Linked DNA regions of Lonchura striata. The protein of the gene in region 2 purifies or fractionates together with the protein of the main gene of each other region. This does not show direct contact. Links are inferred from orthologs where the notes say so. Each region holds a gene or a part of one and is shown on either strand. Other genes may lie near its edges.

Region 1 (7,867 bases), on a different chromosome or scaffold from region 2:
GTAAAAAACCCCGCAATTACCCTAACATTAACTAATGAGGAAGAAGGGATGATTCGTACCTGCTTACAAACAAAGCCCAGCCCACGGGAGGAACTCCCATCACGTCAGAGGCAGCGCAGCTTAATGGTGACATCAGTGCAGGACTTCGTCCTGTCTCAGATCCGAGCCCCGCAGGAACTGTCCATGCATGGCAGCCATCGAAATTCTTTGGCTTTCAAGGATTACATACTTTAAACGTAATTCAGTAACAAAAGTTTTAAAAAGTCAACAACCTCACCCTCAGGCTGGAATAAATGTTGAATCTTACCACAGCAAGCAAAGGGTCAGATTTTCAAACGTGCGATTTTTATTTTTTCCATGTTATTTTATACATATTTGGTGCAAATACCAAAAGGCTCATAACCCACTCGTATTTCCTAACATAGTTTGCTCAATACTATTAGAAAGCAGGTAAAAGACAAGTCCAACTGTGCAATTCCATTATCTGAATCCCTGAAACGTCTGCATTTTCTACCAGATGCTGCCCTCCATCCCATGAAACAGGCCTGCACTTGAGGTCCTAGAGACACTGGAGGAGTAACTCAAGCACAGAAGGCTCCTTGCCACCTGAGCTCTTTACAAGCCTGTGCTGCTCCCCTGGGAGAAGGCAGGAGAGCCATGGCAGCACACCAGGAAGGCACCCGGGATGCCCACTCAACACTCATGTATGGGTCTGAAACACAGCACAGAGCTGCCCTATGCATGTCTCCATCATTGACAGAACATGAGCTGCACTGACCTTCTCTGGCTCACCAGTCATTAAGATTTTACTCAGAAAAAATATTATTCCAAGTCATGAGAAAGGGGGAAAACACGAATTTTAATATATAGAGAACTAGAAGCTTATTTTGGGGTTCCCATACCATCAGTAGGAACTCTAGTCTGGGGTATAAAGTTTTATTTTCCATGACAAGAAAACAGGCTGACTGGAATTCAAGTACTATGGGGAATTGCCAGGGCAAGCTCAGAGCAGTTACCCAAAGTGAATAAACTAAACTAACAAAAGGATTGTGCTCCTGCTACTGCAAGCACAGTTGGGCTGTGCTGGCCCAGCCTTGTCAGCTGAGGCACAATTATTGATTTGGAATATCTAAATAAAGAGCTGTACATCACGGAGAGCCTTCAAAGCCCAGGCCACTCCACAGGAATGGTCCCTCCACCTCCCACACAGGCATTTCTTTCTCTTCAGAATTGCTCATTTTCATAGAAGGAAGATGACTCCTCTGTGATATTAATTGAGGTGCTGTTAAATAATGCATTAGCAACAAGTAGTTCTAGGAATGTCTTGAATCCTGCTCCATAATATGCACTTGAGGGACAATCCCTGTTCATTAGGGCTACACTTCTCTGTACAAACACCAGAACACACCACATGGCTGATTCCCTCGATGTATTTTAAATCAAGGAAAACACACAGCAGGGAAAACAGTAAACCTGGAGTTCTGGGCTGAGGAAACAAGTGATTTGGGTTTGTAAGCACATCATACTGACTCTTTTCAACCTTATAAGAGCATAAATAGAAGACTTCACCATCATAGTACTAACTTAGCCGGTATTTGAAATAACAGCTACCAGATATTCCTGTGCTTGCTGGTTAAAACCACATGAAAAATGAACACTCTAAAAGAAATCATCCTCATTCAAGTAGAGACCAACCTTACACTCTCCAGAAGTTCCAGCACTATGATGCGTTACCCTTAGACATCCACACAGCTCAAGTCCTGACTGCTTCACCTGCACTGCTGCTGTAAGACCTCACTAGCAGGAAAGGAGGGGACAGAACACTTCAAAAAACAACCAGAGAGATCCATGTGTCCACCAATGGAAAACACATTCCCACGTGGATGCACTTACAATCTGCCTAGGCAATGAAAAAGGTGTTTCAGCGCAACATTTATTAAACTAACGGTGATACTCCAACTCATACTGTACATCCAGCAGTTTTACAACTGGAAGTTATTACAAATATAAAGCAGAACAAAAAAAAAAAAAAATCTAATTTTTCTCAGAATATCTAAGTTTTGTCAGAAAAACTTTGCCTAACCAGCAAATAAAAATTAAAAATAGAAGAGACGTGGATACACGCATGGGGGAATTTACAGAGCTGGGCAAAGCTGTGAGCACCTGACAGAGGTGATCTCTGCGGGAACACACAGGTACACACTCCTGAAACATTGCCAGGGTAAAAGTCTCCCGGGGCCTCTAAGAGAAGGCAAACTCCACTTTCGGATAAGCCAGCCAGGGCTCACCTCTAGCTCTACTGTGAGCCTATGCTGTACCGCACAACAAGCTGCAGAAAGACATAATCATTAGGGGAAAAAAGGTAACTACAGAAACAGTCACTAACAAACGCACTCACCGCAATTCGGACAAAGAGAAGGTCTCGAATTATCACAGGACTTTCAGGGTTGGAAGGGACCTCTGGAGATCATGTAGCCCACTCCCCAAGAATGTCTCTAAATACCTCTTTTGGCCCAGTGATCCCACACTTTCCCTAGAGCACATATTTGTCTGTACGTCTTTCATTCTGTCCAGAAACTCAGGGGTCAACTCCACTTACCTGTTTTTTTTTTAAAGCACTTCAAAACCATTTACATTTCGCGCCCGCAGACAGCGCACCCAGCAAGCGACCCCAGCGCTGGGCAGCGGGGCCGGGGGAGGGAGCGCCGGGCCCGCGGCCTGCGGAGCGCTCAGGCCCGGCGGGGCCGTGCCCGGCGGCCCCTCGGGCAGGTGAGTCAGCAGCCGTCCCCATCCCGTCCCCGCAGCGACACCGCGGCCGCGCGGGGCCGGCCCGCTCCTTCCCCCGCGCCCGCGGCCCTCGGGCGGCGGCAGCTCCCACCTTGCTCTTCACCTCCATGGTGCCCAGGCCGCGGCTGCCCGCGGCGCCGCGCGGAGCCCGGCTCATGCCGCGCGCGGTCGCTGCTCTGGCTCCTCCGTCCGCCGGAGCGCCGCGGGACGGGCGGCGGCGCGGCCCAGCCAAAGCCCGGCACCCGCGGCCGCTCCGCCGCCTCCGCCCTCAGCGCGGCCGGGCCGGGGCGGGGCCGCGCGGCTCCGGCACCTGCCGGGCACCGGGGCGGGGCCGCGCCGCGCCTGCGCCGCCTCCGCGGGCCGCACCTGCCCCGCCGCGCAAGATGGAGGCGGCGGGGCGGGGGCCGTGAGGGGCCGTGAGGGGCCGTGCTGCTGGCCCGCAGCGGGTCCGGGCCGTGAGGGGCCGTGAGGGGCCGCGCTGCTGTGCTGCTGGCCCGCAGCGGGTGCGGGCCGTGCCTCTGCTTCTCTCCCCGCAGCGGGTGCGGGCCCGTGCGGGGCTCTGTGCTCCTGTCCCCGCAGCGGGTGCGGGCCGTGCCGCCGCTCCTGTGCCCGCAGCGGCCGCGGCTGTGCGCGCACGGGGCCGGAGCGCGGCTCGGCTCCCGCTGCTTCCTCAGGCACCTCCCGCCCCGGGGAGCCGCCATCCCGCGGCTCCGCATCCTCCCGCGGCCCTCGGGAGCCTCCACGGCGAGCTCCGGCTCCCCCACAGCCCTGCGGAGCCAACCTAACCCTCCCACAGCCCCGGGAGCCTCCATGGCGATCTCGGGGTCTTCCGCATCCCTGAGGAGCCAACCAGACCCTAACCCACAACCCCAGGAGCCTCCATGGCGAGCTCTGGATCCTCCACAGCCCTGAGGAGCCAACCCTGGCCGTGGCGAGCTTTGGGTCCTCCACAGCCCCAGGAGCCTCCATGGCGAGCTCTGGGTCTTCCACATCCCTGAGGAGCCAACCCTAACCCACAGCCCCAGGAGCCTCCATGGCAAGCTCTGGGTCTTCCATAGCCCTGAGGAGCCAACCCTGGCCATGGCAAGCTCCAGATGCTCCACATCCCTGAGGAGCCAACCCTAACCCACAGCCCCAGGAGCCTCCATGGCGAGCTCTGGGTCTTCCATAGCCCTGAGGAGTCAGCTCTAGCCATGGCGAGCTCCGGATCCTCCACAGCCCTGAGGAGCCAGCTCTAATTCTCCCACAGCCGCGGGAGCCTCCATGGCAAGCTCTGGATCCTCCACAGCCCCGAGGAGCCAGCCCTAATTCTCCCACAGCCGCGGGAGCCTCCATGGCGAGCTCTGGATCCTCCACAGCCCCGAGGAGCCAGCCCTAATTCTCCCACAGCCCCAGGAGCCTCGTGCTGCGCTGCTGCTCCTCCGCAGCCCTGCGGAGCCGCATCCCGCGGCCCAGTGCCCCTCACAGCCCCGGAGCCCCCGGGTCAGGCTGCCCTGGAGGCTCCGAGCCCTCAGACATGGAGCGTGGGGATGGACTGGATGATCTCCAGAGAAAGATCGTTTCCAGTCCCAGTGATTCTGTGATTCAGGGATCCTGGGATCCCACGGATGTAACACGCAAACCGCACCAGTGCTAGCTGATGTTTGCATGTTACATAAATAAACCTTGGTCAGGCCAAAAGTGTGACGTCTCCCTCTCAGGATGTGGCTTTATGTCCATCCTGAACGTAAAGCTGTTCATGGAGCTTGTTTTCATTTTGGTCACAAATAAGATTGCAGGATCTGGTAATGTCAGAGCTAACTTTTAAATTTCATTTAAAGGCCAGTTAAGCTACCCTGACAAAAGTACAAGGTTTAGAAAAAGATTGTAAACTGTCTGAAAATAAATTACTTCTCACGTGTATGGACAAGAAGAAAGCATGTACATTAATCTCATTATGTCAACAGACCTTTGAATTACAGGTCTCTCCATTATCTATGAACCTGGTGGAAGAGAATGCCGTGTGAGGTTTCATCATGTGTGGATGCCAGTGATGGTAGCTCAAACAATGCCTTGCACCTGAGGCACGCCACGGGTGTCTAGTCCTCAAGTCTCAGTTGGTAATCAGTAATTAAATAAAATGCATCCAGTGCTGAATCACTTCTAAGTCGGTGCTGATTTTTGTACAGTTGATCTTCCTCCCATCACGCCAAAGGCAAAGGAATTGCAGCTCTCACTCGAGCCAAGACAAGCTGTAATTAGCACAGAGGATATTGTTAATAGTTAAATATAGTTTGCTGCCAGACGGTGTCTAGGCTGATTCAAATCTTCTCATCCTTTATCCAGCATGTTTTGGTTTTACACTGCAGAAGGACACGTAGAGAATTCAACCTGTAAATTCAGATAGAATCTGTGATCCTGGTGCAGTAGAAGGAAGATTACAGCTCTGAGAGCAAGACCAGGATAAAACCTCTTATTCTGTCACTTTGTAATTATAACATTGAAAAGAGTTTGGACTGCTTTCCATATCTGTCTTCTACAGCTCTGTTTAATGAGCTGAGCACAGAGAAGAGTGCAAGAGACAAGGGAACAGTGATTTCTCTGGGGCTTTAAAGCTGCTGGGTTGGCTCTTTTCTCCTGGAGAAAGGGAGGAAAAACCTCCTGAAGCTGATTTCTGCTTGGAGCTGTTGTGCAGTTAATTTTACTGCTATAGATTTATGAGGTATCGCCTAAGATAATTTGTTTTCTATTGTGCATTCCTAGCATGGCTGGAGTGCCAGGCAGTGGGTGTGGGAGCGAGCCTGAGGAGTCAGGGCAAATTCATTTCAAGTCACTGGAACCAACCTAATAAAATGTATTAATCACTGGCTGGCTTTCATCACAAGGAGCTGACGTACGAGGAAGGAATGTGATAAACAATTTGATCTCAGATAAAGGTGGGGAGTGAGGCAGGCTCTTTGTAAGGTAAGCTTATAGAGCTATTTTAGTCACAAGTTCTGTACAACCTGTGATTCAGACCTGGTCAAGCTATTCACGGCACGTTCAGTTTCTGTGAAGTTGAAAGACAGGTTGGGTTTCCTGATCTCTGAGCAGCTGGGGAAGCTTTTTTGGGAGGCCTTTTTCTCCCCATTTGTTTGTTTTTGTGTAGAAATTCCATCACTTAGGTCCACCATGCAGTATAGTGAGATTGTGCCAAGATGTTGGTTTCCTATTCCAGATTTCTGAGATTTTAAGTGGAATTGTATTCCATACAGCCCTCCTGGGATTTCAGAGAGTATTTCCAAGAATAAAGCACAGAAAATTGCTGTCAGCATAGGTTAACTATATTGATGATCCACCTAATCTTTTATTACATAGTTCAGGGCTTATGCTGATTTCATATTTAACATAAAGTAGTCTTTATTTACACTGTCAGTGCCAGCTCAGAGGAGTGATTGTTAGATGCACTAGATTGTAATCTGAGCTTGTCTTGGAGTTGATGAGAGACTGGAGAGTTTTTTATGGGTAGAGAAAACTAAAGGGGAAAAAGAGAAGCTTTATTTTCAAAATGTTAATAAAATTCTGCTTTCTTTCAAAAATAAATCCTGTACTTACAGGCTTTCTTTTTGATACCTTCTGCAATTTTGATACATTAATGTTGTGTCCCAGTTACATTTCCCTACAAAGAAGCATTTTCAACAGTAGTGTGTGCTCTTGGATACTCCATTTTCACAATATTAGGGACCAGCGTGACCTCAAATTGCTTTTGGCCTCTCCTTGATAAGTGAGTGCTGGAGACAAACCAGTGCTGTCATGGGGGCGTCTGATGGTCACAAATACAAAATTATTGTAGAGCACTACTTCCCACGAATCCATAAAATCCATTGAATACTCTCTGCTGATAGTGCTGATCCCGAGGCAGGATGTGAGCTCACAAGTGCTGCATCAGAGAGGAAGAATTTGAGAAGGGGAGCTTGTTACCCTTTATCTCCATGGAACACACTCCACACCAACAGCTCTACACAAAAACAGCAGCAAGGCTCAGCAAGAAAACCCCAGGGCATGGCAACGTAGCTGCTTCATTAATAACAGCAGTATTTGAGTAGCACTTGTGTAATAAAAATTTTATTTCTTACACTGAAATTGTGGCAGTTACAGGATTTTAATTTGGGATGGGTTTTTTGTTTATCTGTTTGTTTGAGTTTTTAAAATTTTATTTTACTGAGGGGGGAAACAATAGTTGGGTTAGTAATAAGTTTTTGTGTTCTGTTTCTGCCTTTGCTTTCTTCTTTCCTGTCAGGAAAACTAGCAGCAATTTTTCTTCTCCACTCCTCCTCCAGGAACCTTTAGTTGTTACTTTGATGCAATATTTACTTACCTGTCTGTGACAAAATGAATTGATTGTTTTTCAAGTTCATATATAAGATCTTTTCCGATAAAATATTTATAGTTTCCTGGGGTTGGGGGGGGTCTTCGTTGGTTTGTACTTTTATTTTGTCTGCCTTTATGGGAAAGGTTGTCTTCATACCATGCTGCCTGTGAAAGAAACATTTGTTTCAGGTGTGTTATAAATCCAGTTATAAACTTGGTCCAGCAATAAACTCGTGAAGTTTTCTGAAAACCCCTTCCTAGCAAGTCGAAAGCTGATATTGATACATTCATTTAAATTCTCTGAGGTTTCTAACTAAAATAATGAAAAGCTTTTAAAGCTCTTTCTTCCCCTTCATCTAGCAATCCATTTGTGTCCAATGACTCTGAATTCCTTTGAAATTCCCCCTTGTTTAGAAGGGCAGTTTGGATCCCAGCTGACCCCTCAGCTTGCACTCGTGTGGGGTTTAATGATTTATCTCTCTGCCCGGAGCGCTCCGAGAAGCCACGCTGGTGCTGAGCTGCCCAGGCCACTGCGAAACACTTCTGGGGATCTTTACACGAAAGAATTCCTGAACATTTCCTGCTTGGTTTTCCACTACTCACTGAGTGTTCCTGGTCCAGAATTTTAGTGGGGTGGGAAAAAGGGAAAATCATGTGGGCTCCCCAGTTTCCTGAGCAGCAGCTCCTGTTCTCAGTGCCTGGTGTCCCTCTGGAGTGGCCATGCCCTGTCCCCCTGTCCCCCAGCTCCTGT
Region 2 (7,742 bases):
GTCACTCCCATGGCCTTGTCTGAACCAGGTTCTCTCCTGCACCCAGGAGTTTGCCCTGTTGCTGTTACCAACACAGTCAACAGTGAGACAATAGAGGCTGGGTCAGCTGCACAGCAAAAAGCTCTTCCTTAGCACCAGCGATCTCACACCAACAGAACTGAGCAAAGTATCACTTAAACACCAGATTTATCACATTTTTCCATTACAGGTGCCATGACTCACTGTGAAAGGACAAATTTAAGAACAATTTTAGCTTGAAATCAATGAAACGAGCCTGAGCTATTCTTTAACTGTTCACCTCTACCACCCTGCTTGGCTGTGACACACTGTCAAGGCAGATACTCAAGAAAAGCACAAACCAAGCAGAACAGCTAAAGCAAGGGAAGGAGCAGTTGCAGTACACAGAGAGAAGTGTAAGACACCACCTCCTCTTCCCAGGAGAAGGAAGATGCTCTAACATTAATCTCAGTTTAATGAGACCATGCAGAGATCTCCTTTACACAACTGCTGAGCCACTGCTACCCCCTGCCACTTGCATTTTCATAAACAAGAGAGTGTTCAGGTGCACCTTGCATACAGTAGTCAGCAAGGAAAACCAAAAGATCCTTTAAAAGGAATTTACTTCAGTGAATCTGGAGAGACAGTGAAATGAACAACTGAACAGACTGTGGTAACACTATGTGCAAGTGGCTGCCCTCCTAAAACACAAACAATATTAAACAAACTATCAGACATCGATTCTCCAAGAAGCCTTTGAAAATAATTGAGAAGTAATCACACAACTCAGGCAAGTTCATGTACTGCCAACAGCCTTGTACTTGGAATTACCAGGAACCGCCCACCTGCAATGAATTTGGGAATTGTGCAAACCTTGTGTGTCATTAGGACTCCTATTGTGTTCTCCTTGTCATGGGGGCATGACAACACAAAGTTTCAAAATGCTACAGCAGAACAAAGTCTTTGCACTGAACAACATTATTGCCCATGATGCAAAACCTTTTGTAGGCTTTGCTAAGGAGCGTGAATCAAACAGAAAAGGGGCTTGTAACTTTGGAGCAGCACTTTACAAACAGTAGGTCAATGGAGCAAACCATGAAAGCATTTGCTTCATAAAGCAACATAAAGAGATCCAGCTTTGAGAAATGCGTATATGAGAACTGGAGTTTCCACACAATTTCTGCATAGAAACCAAACCAGTGCCTCCTTTGGTATTTTAAAGAAAAATTATTGTACTAGCAGTATCACATACTCTTATTGCCATGCAAGACATAGGTTTAAAACCTCCCTTGGTCTTTGACATTTCTCAAGCTTCTATTGTCAGCCAAGAAAAGCCACACCTCTTCCATAAGCAATTCCCAGGAATAATTATGTTACCATACCAAAGGCCACTGGAAGATAAAGGGCTCTCAACTGGTTTAACTCCTCCAGTACTTTTCTTTGGTCAGCTGTTATAGCAGATGCAATTTGTTCAAAACCAAATAAAAGACATTCCTCAGTACCATCCTATGAAGATGTTTGAGAACTCTTCTCCCTCTCCAATACCACAAACTATATAGAGCCCCTTGACAGGCTACAAGCAGCACTGAGCAGGATTAGGGACTGCTCACTACTGGCACAGATCATCCTCATCCTCTCCACGGGTCAGTCTACCCCGACAAGGAACGTGCCAGGATGCATGGAGGAGCCTTGGGACGTACCAGCACTTTGCATTCCACTTGCCAGAAGCAGCAACTTCCCGATTCAAAGTTAAGATCACCAGGCAGCTGCTCTGGGCACACAGCTTCAGCTGGGACTTGGTAAAGCCAGATATTCCAGTTGACTGAAGTGCTCTCAGATGACTACAAAGAGCAGCATTCCCCATCAAGTAAGACATGACAATGGACTTTTACTTCTACCATCTCAGTGGAGCTGTCCCCCTCTCCTGTCACACCAGCACAAGGTTTTGTGTCATTGGCTGCAGAAACACACACCCGGGAGTGTGATTCAACTGCTCTACACCATCAACAAAACTAAACACAAACAGGCAAAGCTTTCTCCAATACCAAGGTTAAGCCCCAGCTCCAGGAGGGGAGATACCAGCAAGAGCCTGTTCCCGTGGCACAATGAAGGGCAACCTGAGACAAAGGCTGAACAACTTCCTTCACCGTTTTATTACACCTGTTCGCTGCCTGCTGGAATCAACGTGCTCTTTCATTCAGCGAGTTCTCAACTTCGGGGAGGAGAAAGAAAAACCACTAGTAGTGACAAGATGCATTTAATACGGGCATAGGAAATAAAAAAGAGAGAAAATGCTAACAGAATATCCCACGGGACTCAGAGTCACTGCAGCTCTTGTCTTCTCCAAGACCCGCTGCTCGGAGCCAGCGGCAGCACTGGTGCTTGCGGGGCCGGGCTGCGAGCGGGGCACCGCTGCCCGCGGGACCGGGCGGGAGCGGCTCCCGCAGCCCCGCGGAGGCTCCGCGCGCCGGGAGCGGCCCCGGGCCGGTCCCGCTGCAGGGCCCGGCAGGAAGTCCCGGAGCGGCCACTGCCGCCACCTCCCCCGGGGAATCCCGGGATGCGGAGCTGCCGCGCTCCGGCCGTGCAGGCACAGCGCGGCGAGCCCGGGACCGGACGCAACAGCGAACAAAACGCCAGCAGCCCTCCGCTGCAAGTTCCACGGGGAGACACTGCCGGAGTCCCCGGGTGCGCCGGGGCTCCAGGTGTGGCCGGCCCGGCAGGGCGGAGAGCCGGGCACCGGCGGAGTGAACCCTCTCGGGGGAACCAGCGAGCACCTGCCGGCCCGGCCGCGCAGCCCAGCACGGGCGGGCATGGCGGGGCCGCCCCGGAGAGCTCCGCGGGGCCGTGCCGGCCGGACCCCGCGCCGGGACCCCTCCCGGGAGCGCCTCCCGCCTCCCGCCTCCCCGCGCGGCCCCAGCGAGCGGCGCTCACCTGCGGGGGCTGGGGCCGGGCCGCCCCGGCCGCGCTCCGCTCCGCGCCCGCTCCCCCTCAGCTGCGCGGCGGCCTCGCTCCGCGGGCACCTCCGGGCGGGGCGCGGCGGGGCGGGGCCGCCCCGTGGGCGGAGCCACGATATACAAACCGCGCGCGTGGGCGTGGCCTCGCATGCAAATAAGCCGCGGCTCTGCCTCCCTTTCGGCCAGCGCACTCATGAATAATTCAGCAGCGCGCTCGCTGTAGCCAATCAGGGAGCGGCACCGCGCGGCTCGGGGAGCGCGGGCAGCCGGCGCCGGGAAAAGGCCGGGAAAGGGCGGCGGGGAAAGCCGGGGCCGGGCTCCAGGGCCCTTCCTCCGGGCTCCAGCCCCGCGACGGAGCTCCCAGCTTTCACAGCCCTGCCTGCGAAAATAGGCAGACGTTGCAAAGAGTCGAAGCACTCGCTGGAGAGAGGAATACCAAGTCCCATTGCACCGCCCCGCAGCAGCCACCCTGCGTCCTGCTGCAGGGAACAGTAGATGGACAAGGAAGCTGTATTTATGTAAAGGGCAATGGCTAGGTGAAGGTCTGCCCTCTCTGCATCCATGCAAAAACTTGAAATTACCTCTGACAAGGGTCCAGTAACAGTATTTCACCCGCGTTTCCAAAAGTGATGTTTTTCAATTAAATATTTGGTTCTTTCATCTTCTTGCAATGAGCAGCTAATCTGCATCCCAGGCCAAAATGGAGCAGTGGTATCAGTCTGGATCATGCTCCTGTTCTGGGGTGGGTAAAGGCACCATCAGATGTTACAGTGCTGAGCAAGACAGCCACAGTTTCTCAATCCTCTCTGCAGTGGTTATTAAACTGTAATTGTCTTGTGCTGAATCAGGGAGTCTCTGCCCCAGTGAAACTCACTGGGTGGCTCTGGTAGACTTCATTGATACAATTCCACCTTGGCATAAAGAGATGAGACTGATTGAAATCAACAGGAGTGAGTTTGACCTAATTCCAGGACAAACTTGAGCTTTGTGGGTCAGGCTGCACTTCTCCTGGCTGCGCCTGTTCTTAGAAACTCCCTTGCCACTGCCTTTAATCTGTAAAACAGTCTGAGAGAATGCTGAGGGCAGCCGGGGCTGCCAACCCCGGCTTTAGCGAAAACTATCAGAGCCAAAGCCCTGCTGGAAGGAGGAAGAGGAAGGGGAGGGAGCGTGGGAGGAGCCGCCAGACCCCTCACCTCAGGAGAGCCCCGCCACTTCCAGCATCTGATAACTGGGGCGTGTGTGCGAAACAGGCGCTGGCAGCAGAGCCGCGGCACCCCGGGCTATGATACCTCTGAGCACGCAGGAGGAAGATGAACGAGGAAGAGGTGTGGAGTGCCGACAGGAACTGCACGCGGATGCAGGGACACCTCCGGGCTCTGAGTCACGCTGCCCTCCCCGGGGTCAGGGCAGCGGCTGCAGCCAAGCACGGCCGGCGTAGGAGCAGGGTTACCAGGGTTACGCAGCCACAGGGCTGCATGACCTTGAGCAGGCATTCACCAGCTGCTGCTTCTGCTCGGGTCCCAGTAGCCTCCACAGCCTCCCTCTGCATAATTTAACATTTCTAGGGTAATTAAGAAACGCACCAAGGAGCCTGCGTCGTTGGAAAAGGGTTTTTTTTATTGCTCAGCCTTCTCCACATGTCCAAAAGGAATTAAAAAAATACCAAATAAAACACATCTAAACCAGTTGCTATTACAGTTCTGAAAACTTTGATATCAAGCACAGCCATGCTTAGCTCACCTCCACCCACTGAGCAGACCTTCTGACACCTGGCACTTTTGGCATAGAGGCTAAAGCAAATTTGGTACCTAGATATGCTGGTGGAGACCAGATTGGAAAACTCATGAGGAATTTGGAGCCTTTTTCTTTACTCAGGGACCTCCCACGTGCAAGACAAATAACAAGGATCCACAGCCAGGAAAGAGGATGTTGGGCTGAAAGAGAGGGGCTGCAGCTCAGCCCTGGTGAGACTGCCAGATGCAGTGTGCTCATAGTGGTGGTCAAGTTTTAGCACGGCTTAACACTGGGTGGCCAAAATGAAGCTCAGGAGGCCAAGCTGCCATCTGCAATGCTCTGGGACTTTCTGTGGCCTCTGGCTCGTGAAACTGTGTTCAAGGCACAGTTTCCTGCTCTTGAGTGTCTGGACACTTTCCTCCAGGTGACTGAATTTATGGCTGTGCCTTTTTCAGACCAGACTCTGATCTGATGGTCGTTGACACAGCTGAATGACAGAGGCTCAGGCCACCAGCACTGATCAGCTTATTCTGTCCCTGATTTACCTCAGTGACACTCCAACCACTCCACTGATATAGCACAGTGGTTTACTTGTGACAAAAGGATCACCAGCAAAGTGTTTTCTAATGGTCCACAGTCAGCAAAAAATTACTCAGGAAAGCAGGCTGGTGGTCCATGAGGTGAGAAAGCCGGAGAGCCAGTGGTTTCAAGAACAAAGCAGTGTGTACTCCAGCCCAGAAAAGCCCAGCTAAGCCAAACAGACTTGTACGCTGTAAATTAACCATTATGCCTGAGCCATCTGTGTGGGTGAAGTCTGTAACAGCCAATAAAGTGGCCAACTTCCCAAAGTTCCAGTTATCCCAGGCTCTGTTTTCTGTAATATTTCATTAATCAGGAAAACAGCTCCTGAGTAAAGCTCTTCCTTTTATCCCATCCCATTTCTCCAAGTGATAGCAACTTCAGTGATTAATATCAACAGGCAGCTTGAACTCCTTCAGTGAATAGAAGGTGATTTCTCCATGATCCACCAGTGCAAAGACCAACGGGACATCCCCACTCAGATACGTCACCTGCTTCAAAGCCCGCAGGGAGGGGATCTGCTCATCAAAGCTACAGAGAGAAAAAAACATCCTGTTTGTTCTCCAAGCAAGAGGAACACAGAGGCAAAGCTGTCCTGGCCAGCCATCACAACAGCTCCCTTTGGCCTGAGGAGCTGGTGGTGATTCTCCTCATCCACTGCAGTCCGAGCAAAAAGCTGCCAGCCCTGAGAGTGAGTATCCAGTATGCCAGGAACTGGGAGCTGTTGAATCCTTTGCCAAAAACAAGGATAACTGCACACTGCTCCACGCTGTGCCCACTAGATACGGGTCACAGTGATATTGGCAAATGGTCAATCCACTGCAATCTTAATATCTTTGTGCTGGAAAGCTCTTTAGGTTGCTGAGATCAACATCTGACCTGCTTTCTCCCTCCTTTTAATTCTGCAGAGTATGTTAGCTCATCAAGGAAAATATTTATGCAACAAGGATCATCCTATTGGTTCATGACATACCTTGGTAAAACTGCATTACCACCTTCCTTGCTCTGTCTACTACAGCTGCAGAGAGCAGAGGGACAGTTTCAGTAAAGTAAAATGAGAAAAGGCAGAAACTGAACTTTGTACCTAGCTATGGAGTTTAAGTACCAGGTCCTGGATCCAGCAAGAAAGGGGACACCTACCCTCTGTTCTTGGTGATTTTAACATTACACTTGACAAAGATCAAAATGCTGAACCCATGGCTCAGAGCCTGTAGTAAGTTCTGCAGAAATTCTCTACAGAAATCCACAGTGAATCTGCACCGACTGAGGATTCAGCTCCCATAGCGCTGGGTTCTACCTGAATTTCACAAGCATTGCATAAAAGCTGTGGCTTCTTTCTCCTGACTCCCAGCGATACTCAGACATACTCAGAGCAGCAACCAGATGACCAAACAGTGTGGGTTGAATGCAAGGGCAGGGGGAAGGGGGGGAAACTGCCACAGACACCAACAAAGCAGGAGGAACTGAAAGAAAAAAAAAAATCCTGTGCGGGCAGGACCACCCTCAAATGAGACACTCTGATGATCTGTAAAGCTCACAAGATGCTGGGTCATTTACAGATCATTAGCACTTCTTTTCCACAACAACTGCAAAGTTTCAGAAACAGCACAAGACTCACTGGTACCTCCGAACACACATCCTGACATGGGGCTTCCCAGGGTTTGTCTTCTTAAATTTGGACACTGCGTCTGCTTGATACACGTTGAAGTCTATCTTCATGGCCTCTGGGTCCTCCTGCAGCCTGCAGGGGAACACACCCACACAGGTACGGGATTGAAACACTGCAGAGTATGAGTACAGCAGAGAAAAGAGAGAGCAAAAACTCCCTTCATTTTGGGTCTAGTTCTGACTAGTTTGGGTCTCCTGAAAGGCTTCACTCCTCAAAAGACTGAATTACTCCCTGCAACTGAATTACTTTCCAGAGCTTTCCTGTAGTCAGACCAGAGCAAGATCGTGGCTCACATCTACCCCACGCCCTCACAAGAAGCAGCACTAACAAAGTCAAGAGCAAAGCACTGCAGGGACTGCACACAAGCACCACACAGACTCTGAGGCAGAAGCAGAACCCCAAGTCCCAAAGCCAAGGTTTTGTAACCACTGAAGCAGGGATGGCAGCACATTCCAAGGATGAGGCACAGGTGAAACCCTATAAAACCTCTGGCTCTGCAGAGGGAAGGGCAGGATAAGATGCTGTTTTAATTGGCCTAGAAAGCCCTGGCTCTGTTGCTGCAGGACCTGGTATTCATGGAAATGTCACCCCCTCACTAGAGATGCTAGGGGGTCATGGAGCAGGGCTCTCTTGGCACCCTGGATATGTGTGGCAGCTCCTAAACTGCTGCTGGGAGCACCTCACAGACCTCACAAGCAGGGACAGTCCCAAGACACTCCTGCTCCCCAACAGCTCCAAGCTGACTGGCTGGATACTAACCGGGAGGCTCCATCCAGGATGTGGGAGGGCTGCAGCACACTGATCTGCTG
Region 3 (7,673 bases), on a different chromosome or scaffold from region 2:
AAACACTTCTTCCCCAAAAATATCTCATATTAAAGTAACTGCCTGAGAACTTAAGTCTGGGATATTAAGGTAACAGGCGAAAACAAAGCATAAAGCTAAAGCAACAAAGCCCAGTGTGCCCAGGCTCCAGTAATGGTTTGTTGCAGCACAGGTCTAATAATTTTGGAAACCAAACCAAACCATCTTCTGAAGGTGGTAAGAACCTTAAGCAACAAAGCATGAAAACTGATGAAGGGAGATGTTAATCTTCTGATTATGGCATGAAAATATGAATTATGAGTTGCCTCTGTGCATTCAGTTCATTCTTTTTAAACAATTTCTGATTTTTACCACGCTGCAACTCTCTCTGCTCTTATTTTTAAAAAAGCTTTTATTACTTTTTTATTCTATTTTTACTTTGAGATTAAATGGGGCCACTCACACACAGAAAATGAAGCGCTTACGTTTCAGCACTGCTGGTTTAAATCATGGAGTATTTTAACAAATTAATGTTAAATGTTTTGTGACAGATTGTACACAGTCCTGACCAAACCTCAGGCCTGATTCTCCATCCCCTTCTGCCTGCACTGACAAAGGAGTACCTCTGGAACAGAACAATTCCAGATGCAAGAGCACCACACTTTGCCCATGCAATCAGAATTGATTACTTGGCACAGTCCAAAGGCAAAAGCTCCTAAGATTTGCCAAAAGATTAAAAATAAACTGAGGGGGAAAACCACACTTACCACACAGCACGTTGGACACTGCGTTTTGTAGGACAAAGACTTGCGGATACAAAGGGAACAATCTGGAAAAGGGAACACATCGTTGTGAGCATTATTCCAAGTGCACATCCACATCCTTGCTTGTGTATTTCCTTGTTGTACAACACACACAAGCTACTCCACAACACACAAATATTGAAAACACACCATTTTCACATGGAATTATCATTGTTGGAAAAGAACCTGCATTTTATTCAAGCACATTTCAAATATCAGCTCCTCCACCGAAAGCTGATGTTTGCTTCCTTTTGTTCCCCAGTGCAAGAAAGCCTTCCTCAGCCCCCACCACTACAGCAGTGGCTGCACTGCTCACTCCCCCACAAAAACTGGGTTTTTGACATGACTAATGCTGATCACTTTCATCTGCCTGCACAGCCCCAGACAAACTTACAATCTCCTTTCCCCCAGGCTCTTCTGCCCCTTTCCAAAACAATACCAACTTGCTGTCGAGAGAAGAGGCTGGAAAGGAGGGCAGACAGCACTGAAATGCTGAGAGACAGCTTAATGTCACCTCACCATCACAGGATGCCTCGACAGGCTGGGCGGTGAAACACACTGTCACAGTACATTTCTGTGTTTGTTACACTTTGTCAATTTATCCCATAGCTTTCACAGCCACTTAAGGATTTAAAAAAATCTCATCATTCTCCAGGACAAAATTCCCTCACTAGATCATCATAGGTCAGAGTTTCAGCACTAGTTCCTGAAAAAGATCTATATTTCATAGGCCCTCTGAGAATGCATCAGAAAAGCAGCAGAAGCATTAATTAATCCCAGAATGGTTTGGGTTGGGAGGGACCTTAAAGCTCATTTCATCCCACCCCCTGCCCCTGCCATGGGCAGGGCATCTTCCACTAGACCAGGCTGTCCAAGCCAAATCCAACCTGTTCTAAAGCACCAATTAACACTTAAAACCACATATCCATTTAAATGCTCAAAAATTACTAGACACGTAGCAAGAAGTGGTATAGGGTGAGAAAGCCATTAAGAAACAAACTTTAACTGTAGGAATAGGAATGAAGTGGCAGACCCAGGCTGCCAGCATCCAACACCCCAGCAGCCTCCCATGGCCCACGTGCAAAGATTGCTGCTCAGAGCCATGGCTGCACCAGCCGCCAGTGAAGAGAATTCCCAGTTCTGTGGCTCCCCACTCTGGCTTCAGTGGTGACAGCTCTGCCAAGCTAAACTAAACTTCACTGCCAAATGACAACGGCCCCCTTCAGGGAAGGAAGTGCTACAGTTTCTGAACCTAACAATCACAAGCATTTATTTTAACGTGGGAAAAGGCAAGGTACTTCCCTCCTAATCTGGCTTCAACAAAGCACTTGGGGTCAGGTTCCAGTCGGTATCTTGCAGGGCAGACAGAACAGCATGGAAAATTTGAGGTCTTAATGCTCAGCACATAGAGCTTTGCATTTGTACCACCCTCAAGATGTTAAGAAAGATATTTACAGTAAGAATGCCAGATGCCACATGCTTGTGTTACAGCAGGAACTACAGCAGGGAGGGCTCTGGCTGCTTCCATCTTGCCAAGCTCCTCCCAGCTTCCACGGCAAAGAGAATCGAGGCACCCTAGAACGGTTTGGGTGGGAAGGGACCCTGAAGCCCAGCCAGTTGCACCCCCTGCCATGGGCAAGACATTTTCCACTGTCCCAGGGTGCGGCAAACCCCACCCAATCTGGCCTCGGGCACTGCCAAGGATGGGGCGGCCCCAGCTGCTCTGGGCACCCTGCGCAGGGCACCACCGCCCTCCCGGGGAAGCTTCTTCTGCATCTCCCACCGAACCGTGGGAAGCCATGCCAGGCCCTGGTAAATCGTTCCTGGCCATCTCTCCTGCAGGCTCCGGAGCCTTCTGCGTGCCGGGCCGAACATCCCCGCCCGGGACCGGCCGGGCCGAACTTCCCCGCTGTCCTCCCGTCCGGCGGGACACGGCCCCGCCGCCCTCCCGCGGCACTCACAGCTGTGCGAGCACTGCGGGATGATCACGGCGATGCTGAAGTAGTCGAAGCAAATCCCGCAGCGCAGCAAGTCATCCACGGCCTGCAAGGAGAGCGGGTGAGCGGCGGGCAGGGCCGGGCCGGGGCACCGCCCGCCCCGGGACCCGGCCCGGGACAACCCCGGGACAACCCCGGGACCCGGCCCGCACGCACCTTCAGCGGGGCCAGGCCGGGCGGCCACGGCGGCTCCAGCAGCGGCATGGCCGGGCTCGGTCGCTCCCGCCGCGGCCGCGCTTCCGCCCGCGCTCCCCGCCGGCTTCCGCCCGCACTTCCGCCCGCGCTCCCCGCCGGCTTCCGGCCGCGCTTCCGCCCGCGCTTCCGCCCGCGCTCCCCGCCGGCTTCCGCCCGCGCTCCCCGCCGGCTTCCGCCCGCGCTTCCCGCCGGCTTCCGGCCGCGCTTCCGCCCGCGCTTCCCGCCGGCTTCCGCCCGCGCTTCCGCCCGCGCTTCCGCCCGCGCTTCCGCCCGCGCAGCTGCGGCGGCGGGGGATACGGAACGGGAACGGGGATGGGGATGGGGAACGGGAACTGCGGGAACTGCGGCAGCTGGAGATAGGGAACGGGAACGGGGATGGGGAACCGGAACGGGGAACGGGAACTGCGGCAGCGGGAGATACGGAACGGGGCGGGAACGGGGATGGGGAACGGGAATGGGGAACAGGGATGGGGAACGGGAACTGCGGGAACTGCGGGAACTGCGGCAGCGGGAGATACGGAACGGGGACGGGGATGGGGAACGGGAACCGCCGGGAGCGGGGATGGAACTGGTGAGAACGGGGAACGGGAGCGGGGACAGGAGCGGGAATGGAAAGGGTGAGAAACGGGGAACGGGATGGGAGCGTGGATGGGAGCAGGAATGGAGCCGCCGGGAACGGGGACGGGGATAGACGTGCCGGGAACGGCAATGGAAATGGAAGGGAGCAGAGCCCTGGGCAGCGGAGGCTGCAGGGGAACGGGCAGAGCCTGACCTGGGACACGGACACTGGCAGCCAGAGAAGGAGCCAGCGCTGAATTGGCCTTTGCTGCCTTCGGCCAACAGCAACGAGCGACACTGGGTGATGTTTCAGAGACATTGTTTTGCACGTGCAGGTATCTCCCATTTGGACACTGATGCTGGTCCAGTAAACGCTGGGAAAATCATGAGTAATCTCACTAGCGTTAAACTACTCCAGTATAAAAACTCCCACACGGACAATCCATGCACACCTAGACACGGTGATAGGTCTGTAATACCTTCCATTCTCTCTGGTTGTCTCCCAGCAGTGCATTGCATTGCCAGCTTTGTGCCCTAGAGTCACTCTTTGGCTGTTTGGTTCTTAGCCTGGGTGCAATTCCCTTCCCCACCATTCAAAATAAACCAAGGCAGAAAAAGTCCCCCAAAAAACCCTCAAACCAAACCAAAACAAACAACCTGAATTAAATTAACATGTGGTTCCTGAGCATTTTGAGAACGAGTACCAGCAAGAGCCCAGAAACAGCATGCCAGCCCCAGGAAAGGCTAAGAGCCTTCCTTCTCAGTGGGAGATGACTTTCCAGTGCCTAGTTTCCAGCAGTGATTCCCTGTGCAGATACTCTGTGTGTGTAACTGCAGTACCCCACCAGAGACCTGTGATGGACGTCACAGGCAGGGGCTGACAAATAGGAAACAACCATTTGCATTCCCATGCAGAAAAAAGGGTAAATTGGGTGAAATCCAAAGGCAAGAGAGTCAATGCATTAACAGAAGTGCTTCTTAGTTGACATTCCAGCTGTCCTGCACAGATTTTGCCTTTTTCAGCTAGGAAAGGGACGTGGGACTAGGAAAGGGATGTTGGGAGCAGAGTTTGGATACAAATTGTTGTCAGTCTGTTGTGCCATATGGCTGCTGATTTGCCACCAAAATGCCCATTGCTGGGGCTTCATTCCTTTGCTAAAAACTGTTTGGGTTGTTCTGCTGCTGTATTTGCCACTTCATTGCTGCCTTCCCCTGTTCCTGAACATGAAGCAGTTCTCAGCCCTTGCAATGCAAGGGTAGCAGACCTCCCTCCACTCCATCTCTCTGCAGGGTAAGACAAGACATGCCCTGCTCCTATGAAGGCTCATTTCTATTCCCTGTAAATTACTGGGAATTGCAGGAGAGGCCTGAGAGCTCCTCGTGGGGCTCTGGTCCCTCAGCACTTCCCAACCCTGATTTAATTAAGAGCACAGCTTTCACCAACAAGGCGTGCATGCTGTGCCATGGATTTTGCATTTGTGCCGCTGGAGCTTGTGCCCAGAGGTGCCCGAGGGCAGGGATCCCTCCCACCAGCCCCGTCCCTGTGCACAGAACGCCCCAGCACTGCCTTGCCACGAGGCTGATGAGTGCCAGGAGCCACTGGAGATGCATTTCCCTGGCCCGTGGGGCCTCAGCAGAGTCTGGCTGCTCCTTGTGCCACTGTCTGTCACCTCCAGCTCAGCCCGCTCTGCTTTCCATTGGTGAGCTGCTGCTCATCACATCACTGAGGTAAAACACTCGCAACAAGAGAATTTTGAAGAGGCAGTTTTGGCTTCTGCTCAGCTTAGCCTGCTTACGCCTGGATTTATGTGCCAGAATGAGACTAAACAGAGGGAGACGGAGCCATTTGTCACCAGAACACATGCAGAAAAGGCAGCTCCAGCTTGCTCCAGTAGTGCACAAACCACTGCTGATGAGTCTGGGTGAGATGTGTGTTGGGATTGATGCCAGTGGTGAAAAACAAAACCTCTCGGGTGCTGGCAGCTGAAACACCAGGTAATTACTTAATTGACTCCATGATCTCCACCTTGGAGGAGCAGCCTGCAGCACTCAGGCTAAAAGCTGAAGCTCATTAGTAATTCTGGCAGCAATTAATGTCCCAGACCATGGAAAGCAGAAGCCCAGAGCATGGCTGGTGCAGCGTTTGGAAGCTGAGAGACACCTGCACCCATCCATCTGGCAGGAGCACTCACCTGTGCTGGACCCAGCAGCTCCTCCTGCTCTGGCCAGGGACACTGACCCAGAGTGTCCAGAACTGAGCTCCAGGCAGGGAAACGACACCAAAATTCAAGCCATATCAATAGAAATTCAGCACAGACGTGAATTAGCCCCATTCCCTGGTGGGTGGCACTGGGCAGACTGGCAGCCACAGGAGTCCTGCTGGGACATGAGGAGGTGGGAGCCTTGGGACGGGCAGGATCAGCGGGGCCAGGAGCAGCAGGATCCAAAGCCACGAGCAAGCAGCAAAAGGGAAGGCGTGGCTGCACACAGGGCTTGTCCCCAAAAACCTGTGAACAGTGTATAACTTCTTACAGGAAACAATCGTTCACACAATTCCCATGGACTTCGGTTGCCACACCAGGGAGGAGGGAAGGCATTACTCATGCACTAGCAGATGTTTTGTCTTACATAAGACTAGATTTTTTCTTTCTTTTAAGAAAAAGGCTGCATCTCACCCTAGAGCCTTCTGAGAGCCTCCTCACCCTCGGACATTGCCACGGCCTCACAAGCTCAGCACTGCCCTGCTCTATGGTACAGCTCTGCCAGCTTCAGCACTCGCCAGTCATTGCTAAATATATTATTTTTATAAAGGCTGTCTTGAAAGGGGTAAAAAAAATGGATGCAGCAACAGTTTGGAGACAGAAATCCAAGAGAAGCTTCATCAGTGCTCAGCAGCAGCAGGCAGCGGTGGGTAACGCAGCCAAGGACAGGATTTCTTGTCGGCTGAGACTCCTCCAGGAGGGAAAGCAGCTCGCTGCCTTTGAGTGGGATGGAAGGTTTGGGCTGAGCGCTGCTGACAGCCCTTCCTGGCCCACAGGGAGCCCAGGCTCGGGCCGGGCTGCAGAGCCTGCCCAGCCCGTCCCTCGCTGCAGAGCTCCAGCCAGGCTCCCGTCACCAAACCTCCGGCTGCCCGGCAGCTGAGCCCCTTAATGAAGAGATTTGTCTTCGTTAGGCACAACCAGACACACGTGCATGAGTCTCGTGCTGACGGGGCTCGGGTGGGATTCGGAGCTGTCCGAGGGTGCCTGGCCTTCGGAGGCTGTCAGGAGGCTGTTATTAGATTTAAAGCCTGGGATGAGCTTTGCTCCTGAGCTGAAGCTTCATTTCCAGCACACAAACCTCCACGGATTTTGCACCATCAGAGACTCCAAGCCCAAGCTTCTGGAAGGCTCCTGGGGAGGGAAGAGGCTTCTCTGTGGAGCAGAGCAAGGCTGGTTTACCTGCAGTACTTATGCTGATCTGATGCATGAGATATTTAAAATCCAGCAAATTACACTTTTATCTCATGAAACACTTAAACCAAACTGTTTCAACAGCTGCTGCCTCCCACCCAACAAGAAGGGGAAATGATCCCAAAGGGCAGCAGGAATGTGGTGCTGTTTTCCAGCTGAGCTGGGATCATACAAAGGTTTCCAACTGCTCCACAGTATTTACAGAAGATGGGTAATGCTGCAGTCTCTCAGGCCTGCTAAAGCCCGGTTTCCAGTGTTTCTATAGTGAGGCTGTAGGTGGGTTTTAAGGGGAAATAATAAAGTTTTCAGAAGTTGGGTAAATATCCTCATTCTGTGCCTGCAGCCAGCTCAGGTGTGGGATGCAGCACAGCCTCCCCAGGGAGTGGGATCGCTCAGCCCTGGCTGCTGAGTGCTGCTGCAGGGCTGCTGCAGGGCTGCTGCAGCCAGAGGCAGCAGGGTGGGGACAGCTGGGGGCACCAGGAGCACTCAGACACCACCACACCAGCACTGGCCAGCCAAGGAAGGGCTCCACTCCAGGGACACGGGGACACTGTGCTGGAGCAGGGGGCAAAAACATTCCAAGAAAAATACTAAAATTGAAATCAAGCTCAGAATGCACCAAACCCTCAGCAGCACTGGCTGGTGCCAGCACTGTCCCTCCCAGGCTGATGAGCTATCCCTGGGCAGGGCCAGGGGAGCTGACATCTGAC
Region 4 (7,717 bases), on a different chromosome or scaffold from region 2:
CCTCATCTTTGTAGGTGAAACTTTTATATATAACCTTGTATGTGCATATATATAAAGGACGGGAGGTTCTATATGTTCTTGATCAATTACAGTGCACACAGTATTGTAAAATCAAACAGGTTGTTTAAATATCCTGAAAAAGTAAATACAGAAGCACAAAGATTTGGGTTTAGTTGCTTTTAAAGATGTGTAGTTTGGGCTACTCATATAATTCTTTCTCCTCCTGGCTAATGAGGTGTCAACAAGAGAGTCAGCTTCTGGTTGCTTCTATCTTATATAAGACAGACAAGTAAGGGAGGTGTTGGCTTAAAATAGTCTTGAAACATTATTCATTTTGTCTATTTTAACACAGGCTAGAAAAACACTAATATTCAAGCCAGCAAGAAAATCTACAAAGAATTGCCATGGTGATTTCTGATATTATGGAGAATATCTGCTTTACTCGAGTTTATGTTCAAATATATTAATGCTTTGCCTTATTATTTTTATCCAAACTTTGTGGCACCTGGCCCAAATTCATTCCCACTGCACCCAAGGATTTCACTGCCAGTTATTTCAATGGAAACAATATCTAGTCTCTTCCTTGGCAAAAGAAGAGAGTAAGTAGGCTGGAGAGCAGCCTGCACATGCTGCTGGTTTGATCTGCTAAAGAGACATTCTATGGGGAGGCATTTTTATTCTCAAGTGATACAGAACTGGTTACTCATGCTTCACATGCACTTGGAGAAATGAGCTGTCTCTCTCAATTTCTTTGTTGTTTAGTTCACAGTGTGAAAGCATCATTCTAATCCCTACTAAATCTTTAAAACCTTGCAAACTTGAAAGGTCCTAATATAGCTGAAGATTTTGAGTCATGAATTCAAGTACTAGCAGGATACCTGTCTTCTACCGAGGTGAAATTAGTACCGATTGACCCTTTTTTGCAACAATTGTCTGGGAAAAGTAGCTACCATAACGATGTTTTCATTGGAGTGTTTGGGAGGGAGGAGTTTTCTGGTCAGCCTTGTCAGAAACAGACAAGTACCTTGTGTCTGATGGCTCAAGCTGTACTTTAGATTGATGCAGTCATTAACCCAAATATTTATATATTTTTTTTAAGTTTTAAACTGATTTTTAAAGGAGAGTTCTCAACACACTGAAGCACTAAATAAAGACGTACGACTTGTAAGCATCGTCTGCACAAGCGTGACTCCCAGCGAGTTGCCTGGGAGTCTCTTGCCATCTGCTGGAAACGTGCTGATGTACAGCCTGAAAGGAATTTACCTCAGTGCCAGGAAATAATGGAGAATATTCGGAAAACTCATAACTTTAACTCAAAAAGACAATTCACATCAGACTCCCAGGCTGCAGCAGTTGGACTAACTACCATCATTAGATTCTTGAATAAATCACATTTTTGCTGATACAGATAATCTGTGGCATGATTGGATGCTGAGGTTGAATGTAGAATTTCAGAAATGAAATATTTGAAAAAAACCAAAACCTTCTTTAGCTTTCTCTTTCTCAAACAAATTGCTTCAAATCACTGCTCTTGAAAGATTAGATATGAAAATATTCTAATGGTGATTTTTAAAAGAACTAGAATTTTAAATATCTTATTTACACTTGGAATAAAATAAAATTCAATTAAATTGCTGGTAGGAGCCTGTCAGCTCTTCACATCTAGGTAGAATAGACAGAAATATTGCAACTTTTAAGTTGAAGATGGCTTGGTAGAAGACGAAAGTGCCTGCCATCTGGAAAAATATAGGGTGGGGCAAAAAGGTGAGGAATACACTCAGGATTTACAACTTGTTGTGTTTCAAACCAGTTACAACCTTGTCAGCTAATGCATAGAACAAAGTCAAGGTCCTCTCCAAAAACTGCCATCTGCCCAGAAGTGGGAAGCATCTATTGAGAAATTCAACTGTTTAAACAGTCTTGTAACATAAGAAAATACAAACCAACCCAAAACAACAGCAAGTGAACAACTACAAAATATCTCAGTGAGATATAAAAATATTATGGTTGAGATTTTTTTCGTCAAGCACTGAAAATACACCTGAGCTTTTCTCCTTGGTAAGTTGTGCTAGAAGAAAAAACAGCAATAAGCCACACAAAACTTCAGATCACAGCTCTGAAGAACCTTTTATCTCCCAATCCAACAGCTCAAGGAGATGAAGCATTTAATTGACATGGAGATCAAAGACTACCTTGACCTGAAAGAATTATGTTTGCAGACCTACCTTACATAATGTTCTCCATTTTAAGCAGAAAAATTTGGAGCACATGAAGATTTAAGGACCCACTTTGAAACCAAATTGAGCGTTCCAAATAAGATAAAATTAGCAGTGGACACACAAATAATTCAATTTAAGACTGATAAATGAAGCCATGGGGTGTATTTCCTTGGTGTCAGAGAAAACATCTCAACTGATGGGAATACATTTTCCATTTTACTGCTAATTAAATTAGTGCCAACTGTTATTTATTTGTATTTTGGAAGATTGTAGAAACATCAAAAAAAGCCTCAGAACTGCACTGCTGCAAACTGTCCAACTCACAAACCCCAAAAGCTCCACAAAAGTGCTGAGAAAGTGCTAAATGTGCCTGAAGAAACTTGATGGAGGTGTACAAATCCAGCTAGCCCAAAAAAAAATCTAATAGTTGTGTCTTCTGTTTTGTTTTCCAAATGGGGTGGCTCATGTTTCCCAATGGTGGATATAAATACATCAAGAAAAGCCCCAAAGAAACCCTTTTGCTTGGATAGCTTATTTTCTTAGAAAAGTTTTAAATTACACCAGGAAAACAGCTGTTTGGGCAGGATGAGCAGCATTTCCACTAGAGGACTCTCTGAGTTCACCATCCCAGCTTTCCGTGAGGAAAAAGCAGTTGATCCTCATTCATTCACAGTTTGGAAGCAAAATATCAAAGCATCATCAGGGAAGAACATCAAAACCAAACTTTACAAAGCATTAAACATGTCACAGACTGCCTCTTGTGGAACTCTAGTTGCTCCACCACTAATATAATGTTTTTCTCTCTTGTCTGGCCAGTCTGATATTATTACCTCTTTATTATCTCAGCTGTGATGTTCCTGCTTTAGCCACTTTGAGTGGCCCCTCCCCAGGATGGTTGCTGGATTGACACTCATGGGACATCACTGCTGGGGCTTCCTGCGGAGATTTCTTGGGAAGCAGCTCTGGCAGCACCGGGGAAGACAGAGAGGGCCTGTCCTGCCACACTTGTCCCTTCAGCACCTGGCCTTTATCCCCTCAGCACATGTCCCTTCCCCTCACATCTGTCCCCTGAGGAGCTCACCTCTGCCCCCATATCAGTTCTTCCCCACTGGTTCCCTCACACCAGTTCCCTCAGCACTTGTCCCCAGCCCCTTCACACCAGTCCCCTTACACCAGTGTCTTGTCACACTTGTCCCCTCACACCTGTCCCCTGTCCCCTCAGCACTGTCCTCTATCCCTCACACCACTCCCCTCACACCTGTCCTCCCTGACATGTCCTGTAGCCCCTCACACCTGTCCCCTGACAGCAGTCCCCTCAACACTGTCCCCTCACACGAGTCCACTGACACCTGTCTCCCTCACCTGTCCCCTCATCCTTGTCCCCTGAGCAGTCCCCTCAGCAGTGTCCCCTCGCACCAGTTCCCTGTCCCCATAGCACTATCCCCTCACACTCCTCCCCTGTCCACTCACCGAGTCCCCTCAGCACTGTGCCCTGACACTGTCCCCTCACAGCAATCCCTTCTCACCTGTCCCCTCACACCTTCCCGTCACAGCAGTCCCCTCAGCGCAGTCCGCTCAGCACTGTCCCTTCACACCTGTCCCCTCACACCTGTCCCCTCTCACCTGTCCCCTCAGCACTGTCCCTTCACACCTGTCCCCTCACACCTGACCCCTCAGCACTGTCCCCTTAACCCTGTCCCCTCAGCACTGTCCCCTCTCACCTGTCCCCTCACACCTGTCCCCTCAGCACTGTCCCCTCTCACCTGTCCCCTCAGCACTGTCCCCTCTCATCTGTCCCCTCTCACCTCTCCCCTCAGCACAGTCCCCTCAGCACTGTCCCTTCACACCTGTCCCCTCTCACCTGTCCCCTCACACCTGTCCCCTCAGCACTGTACCCTCACACCTGTCCCCTCAGCACTGTCCCCTCACACCTCTCCCCTCAGCACTGTCCCCTCTCACCTGTCCCCTCACACCTGTCCCCTCAGCACTGTCCCCTCTCACCTCTCCCCTCAGCACTGTCCCCTCAGCACTGTCCCCTCAGCAATGTCCCCTCTCACCTCTCCCCTGCGCACTGTCCCCTCAGCACTGTCCCCTCTCACCTGTCCCCTCACACCTGTCCCCTCTCACCTCTCCCCTCAGCACAGTCCCCTCTCACCTGTCCCCCCGCTCCCTCAGCCGCCGCTCCCTGCAGCGCCGCGTTCCCATTGGCTGCAGGTGTTCCCCGCCGCCCCCCCGCCCGCTCTGGTTGGCCGGGACGCTCCGGCTCCCCAGGTAACGGTTCCCGCGCTGCCATTGGCGGCGGGCAGGCGGGACCCGGGCGGGGATTGGCTCTCCATTGGCTGCGGCTCCCGCCCTCAGACCGCCATGTTGCCGCGGGCGCGGGGCGCTGAGCCTGGACAGCGGCTGAGGGGCGCCGGGGCCACCTGGGGCGGGACTTGACGGGGCGCCTGAGGGACAGCGCGGCTCCTCCGCCGGCCGCCGCCGCCGCCGCTCCCCGCCGGGGCACCGCCGGCAGCGAGGCAAAGTCCGCTTGGAAACTTCCTTGCGGGACTTTGAGCAACTTGAGGCCGCGGAGGTGTAGCCGGGCCGGGCTCAGGGAGCGGCCCCTGCGCGCCGCGGAGCCCCACCGTGTAGGGTGGGACCGCCGCGGTCGGAGCAGGTAAGAGTCCGGACGGTCCCGGTGGACACCGCTCCGTCCGGGGAAGTGCCGGCGCCGGCTCGTCCCGAGCGGTGGTGCCGAGTCCCGGCCGCTCCCCGCAGGCCGGGGCTGAGGGGGGACCCCGGAGGGGCCGCGTGTTGCCCTGAGCCCCCGGAGGGGCCGCGTGTTGCCCTGAGCCCCCGGAGGGGCCGCGTGTTGCCCTGAGCCCCCCGGAGGGTCGGGTGGAGGGTTCGGGGGTCTCCGCTCCCCGGTACCTGTGGGCCGGCTTGCCCGGACAGCGGGGTTACGGAGGTGCGTGCATACACACATTCATGTGTGAGGTGGTAGTTTGGAATAAACAGGATGTTTGTCAGGCTCCAATCATAAAGGTATGCTAAATTGCCCCTCGGAGTTCCTCTGCTGCTTCCCTTGGGTAGATTTGTAATTGATAGTAATTGACTGCAATGTTTTATTTACAGAAAAAAACTATTTTTAGTTATTTGGGAGAAAAGAGTAAGATGCTGTGTTGATGAATAAGTAAAAACTTCTGTGGAGTATTTCAGCCACTAGGGAGCTAGTCGATGATTTTAAGAAAACATCCTCAAATACCTGGTCTACTTCTGTAAAGCTAAATTGTACAGGGTATTTTTAACCAATCTTATTTAATTTCTGTGCAGGTCAATGGTCTTACACATTTTCCTTTTGATTTTTTTGCTGTTCTATGTAAAGCTATCTGTGTTTCTAAAATTTGACACAACTCATTTGTTTAGCAGTGTGTGTATATTCATCAATATTTTGGGTTTTTATCTATGCAGCTGGATTGAGAATCATCTGGAGCAGAAACACATTTCACATGTGAAGCTCTTCAGAATCTGTTATCTGTTTTGAATCAACTTATTTCTGCATACTTTTATATAACTGCTAAATACAGACCATGCCTAGCAGAATGGGCTCAAAAATTGATCTGAACAAAGACTTCATCAGGGTAAAAACACACTACAGCGGGTAAGTCAGTGTGTCCTTTCCTCTGTGTTGTGACCTGTCTATTTTTGAAGTGTATTGAGCAGGAGTTTGTGGTCTGACCTGGTGATAAAGTAACCAGGGCTTTGGTGGATTTGTAATTAGTGTCAGATCAGACAGGTAAACTTCTGAGCTATTAAAATACCAGTCAGACTCCTGCAGCATGCTGATCAAGAAGAAAAGTTAATTTATTTTTCTCTCAGAAGGGAAGAAAATGTGCATCAGTGACAAACCCACAGTCATTGTGGGTTGATGGATTATTGATTCCCATGGTCATAGTCAGGTCTAGATCCATCTCCTGCATCCAGATGCAGTTATTACATTTTATCCTGTTTATAGTCAGAATGTCATGGTCCCTTATGGCTTCACTCAGTTGACAGTATAAACAGGAAGGTTTTATTGCAGCAACATGAAATTTGAATTTTCAGGTATGTTTATTCTAATTGGTTTGCTGCCCCTCTGAGGACCTTATAAAATGATGTTGCTTCAGTTTCTCCTGTCTTCCTTGAAAGCCTGAGTTTAAGGCATTTGAGGAGTTAAATACTTGGCCCAAGTAAATCCTTAAACTTGATTGGAAGTATTTAGACTGAACTTGTTGCCATTTAATAAGTAGCTTGAGTGATATTTTCTGATACTCTACTGCTAAATAAGTAAATGTAGCTACTGCTATGTATGGTAGTAGAAATTATCGTAATATAGAATTTTCTACATTATGGTGTAGAAAAATGTGATGTAGTTATGAAAGTCACTTCACAAATTTTATTGAAAACAAAATGTTTTCGTTTTAAAGTTACCTACTTATCAATGCCAGGTAGTTTGAGGTCCTGAGTTTAGAGTTCTAGAACAACTGAATCAGCTCTGTGAGGGAAGGCACTACAAGCACCAATGGAACTGGGTGTAAATAATTTGGGGTGGCTTGCTGTCAGGTAGTGTTGATACAAAGTGAAAGGAGTATGTCTGTGGAACTTGTCTGTGCACAACTGGGAGAGGTGATAATAATTGTGTCAATGTTAGAAGTCAAGTTATTATTAGTCAAATTAGAAGTCAAATTATTATTACCATGTTTTACAATAAACTGCTGTAGTTTTTTCCTGCAGCACTACATTGTCTTTTGCATTAGCTATGAAGTCTACAGAAGTCAGTTTGCAAACAAGAGTTCCAAGTGCTATGAATTTTGTTTTTGTTCTGCTGATCAAATTGTGTGAGGTAAAAAAGACTCTTTGTGGCATTGTAGCCTCTAAAACTGATCATCTCAGTATCTCCACTGCAGTACCGCACTCGGCTTTTGAACAAATTTGAGACTGCAGGAAATCATTGATGCTGGGCAACTTCAGAATTAGGGACTAACTGCTGAAATTAAAATAATAGTACAGATGCCATGTTGAAATGCCTGTTAGAAATCTGAGCATGGGGAAGTTTAAAACATGAGCGTTGAGTGTATCCCTGGAGTATGAGTATCTCAGGTATTCCTGTTTCTGGGTGTGACAGAGTTCCTAACATAGCACAGTAGAAATCACTGCCAGAGTAGATTACAAAAGAAAAACTAACTGCAATAATGAACCAAGAATTACACAACTTGCCTCTCTATACCTGGTTGCTTGAAATCACTAAAACAGAGCAATGGTGCAGTCTGCTTTGTTGTGCGTTGTCTTGGCTCTGAGAGATGACATGTTTGATCTGTCACTGGGATTATTTCTTGTGCTGTAACTACTCATACAGAATTTACTGATCATTAGCATTTCATATTACTGTCTAGTCTACAGTTTCAAATATTTTTTTTTAAGTGTCCTGTGGGATTATTTAGTGTTAAACAAGGAATGGTTTTCACTTCCCTGTGCCC

Evidence for each region.
Region 1: the proteins of LLGL2 (region 2) and PARD6B purify together in Homo sapiens (affinity purification with mass spectrometry; 7 studies listed by BioGRID and IntAct, counting the BioPlex papers as one, with this or other methods). This does not show direct contact. The link is inferred for Lonchura striata from reciprocal best matches to the Homo sapiens genes LLGL2 and PARD6B.
Region 3: the proteins of LLGL2 (region 2) and RAD18 purify together in Homo sapiens (affinity purification with mass spectrometry; 3 studies listed by BioGRID and IntAct, counting the BioPlex papers as one, with this or other methods). This does not show direct contact. The link is inferred for Lonchura striata from reciprocal best matches to the Homo sapiens genes LLGL2 and RAD18.
Region 4: the proteins of LLGL2 (region 2) and PRKCZ purify together in Homo sapiens (affinity purification with mass spectrometry; 7 studies listed by BioGRID and IntAct, counting the BioPlex papers as one, with this or other methods). This does not show direct contact. The link is inferred for Lonchura striata from reciprocal best matches to the Homo sapiens genes LLGL2 and PRKCZ.

The regions. Positions count from the first base shown.
Region 1 is NC_134619.1:1,171,545-1,179,411, reverse strand, and holds the start of PARD6B (partitioning defective 6 homolog beta), read right to left. Parts: upstream 3,013-7,867; 5' UTR 2,945-3,012; coding exon 2,879-2,944; intron 1-2,878. UniProt on the Homo sapiens protein: Adapter protein involved in asymmetrical cell division and cell polarization processes. Probably involved in formation of epithelial tight junctions.
Region 2 is NC_134621.1:4,677,821-4,685,562, forward strand, and holds the start of LLGL2 (LLGL scribble cell polarity complex component 2), read right to left. Parts: upstream 3,011-7,742; 5' UTR 2,929-3,010; intron 1-2,928. Other genes in the region: TSEN54 (tRNA-splicing endonuclease subunit Sen54), read right to left, coding at 5,645-5,795, 6,883-7,005, 7,693-7,742. UniProt on the Homo sapiens protein: Part of a complex with GPSM2/LGN, PRKCI/aPKC and PARD6B/Par-6, which may ensure the correct organization and orientation of bipolar spindles for normal cell division.
Region 3 is NC_134614.1:23,724,190-23,731,862, forward strand, and holds the start of RAD18 (E3 ubiquitin-protein ligase RAD18), read right to left. Parts: upstream 3,008-7,673; 5' UTR 2,963-3,007; coding exon 2,915-2,962; intron 2,805-2,914; coding exon 2,723-2,804; intron 788-2,722; coding exon 726-787; intron 1-725. UniProt on the Homo sapiens protein: E3 ubiquitin-protein ligase involved in postreplication repair of UV-damaged DNA. Postreplication repair functions in gap-filling of a daughter strand on replication of damaged DNA.
Region 4 is NC_134626.1:2,733,280-2,740,996, forward strand, and holds the start of PRKCZ (protein kinase C zeta type), read left to right. Parts: upstream 1-4,709; 5' UTR 4,710-4,878; intron 4,879-5,672; 5' UTR 5,673-5,791; coding exon 5,792-5,862; intron 5,863-7,717. UniProt on the Homo sapiens protein: Calcium- and diacylglycerol-independent serine/threonine-protein kinase that functions in phosphatidylinositol 3-kinase (PI3K) pathway and mitogen-activated protein (MAP) kinase cascade, and is involved in NF-kappa-B activation, mitogenic signaling, cell proliferation, cell polarity, inflammatory response and maintenance of long-term potentiation (LTP).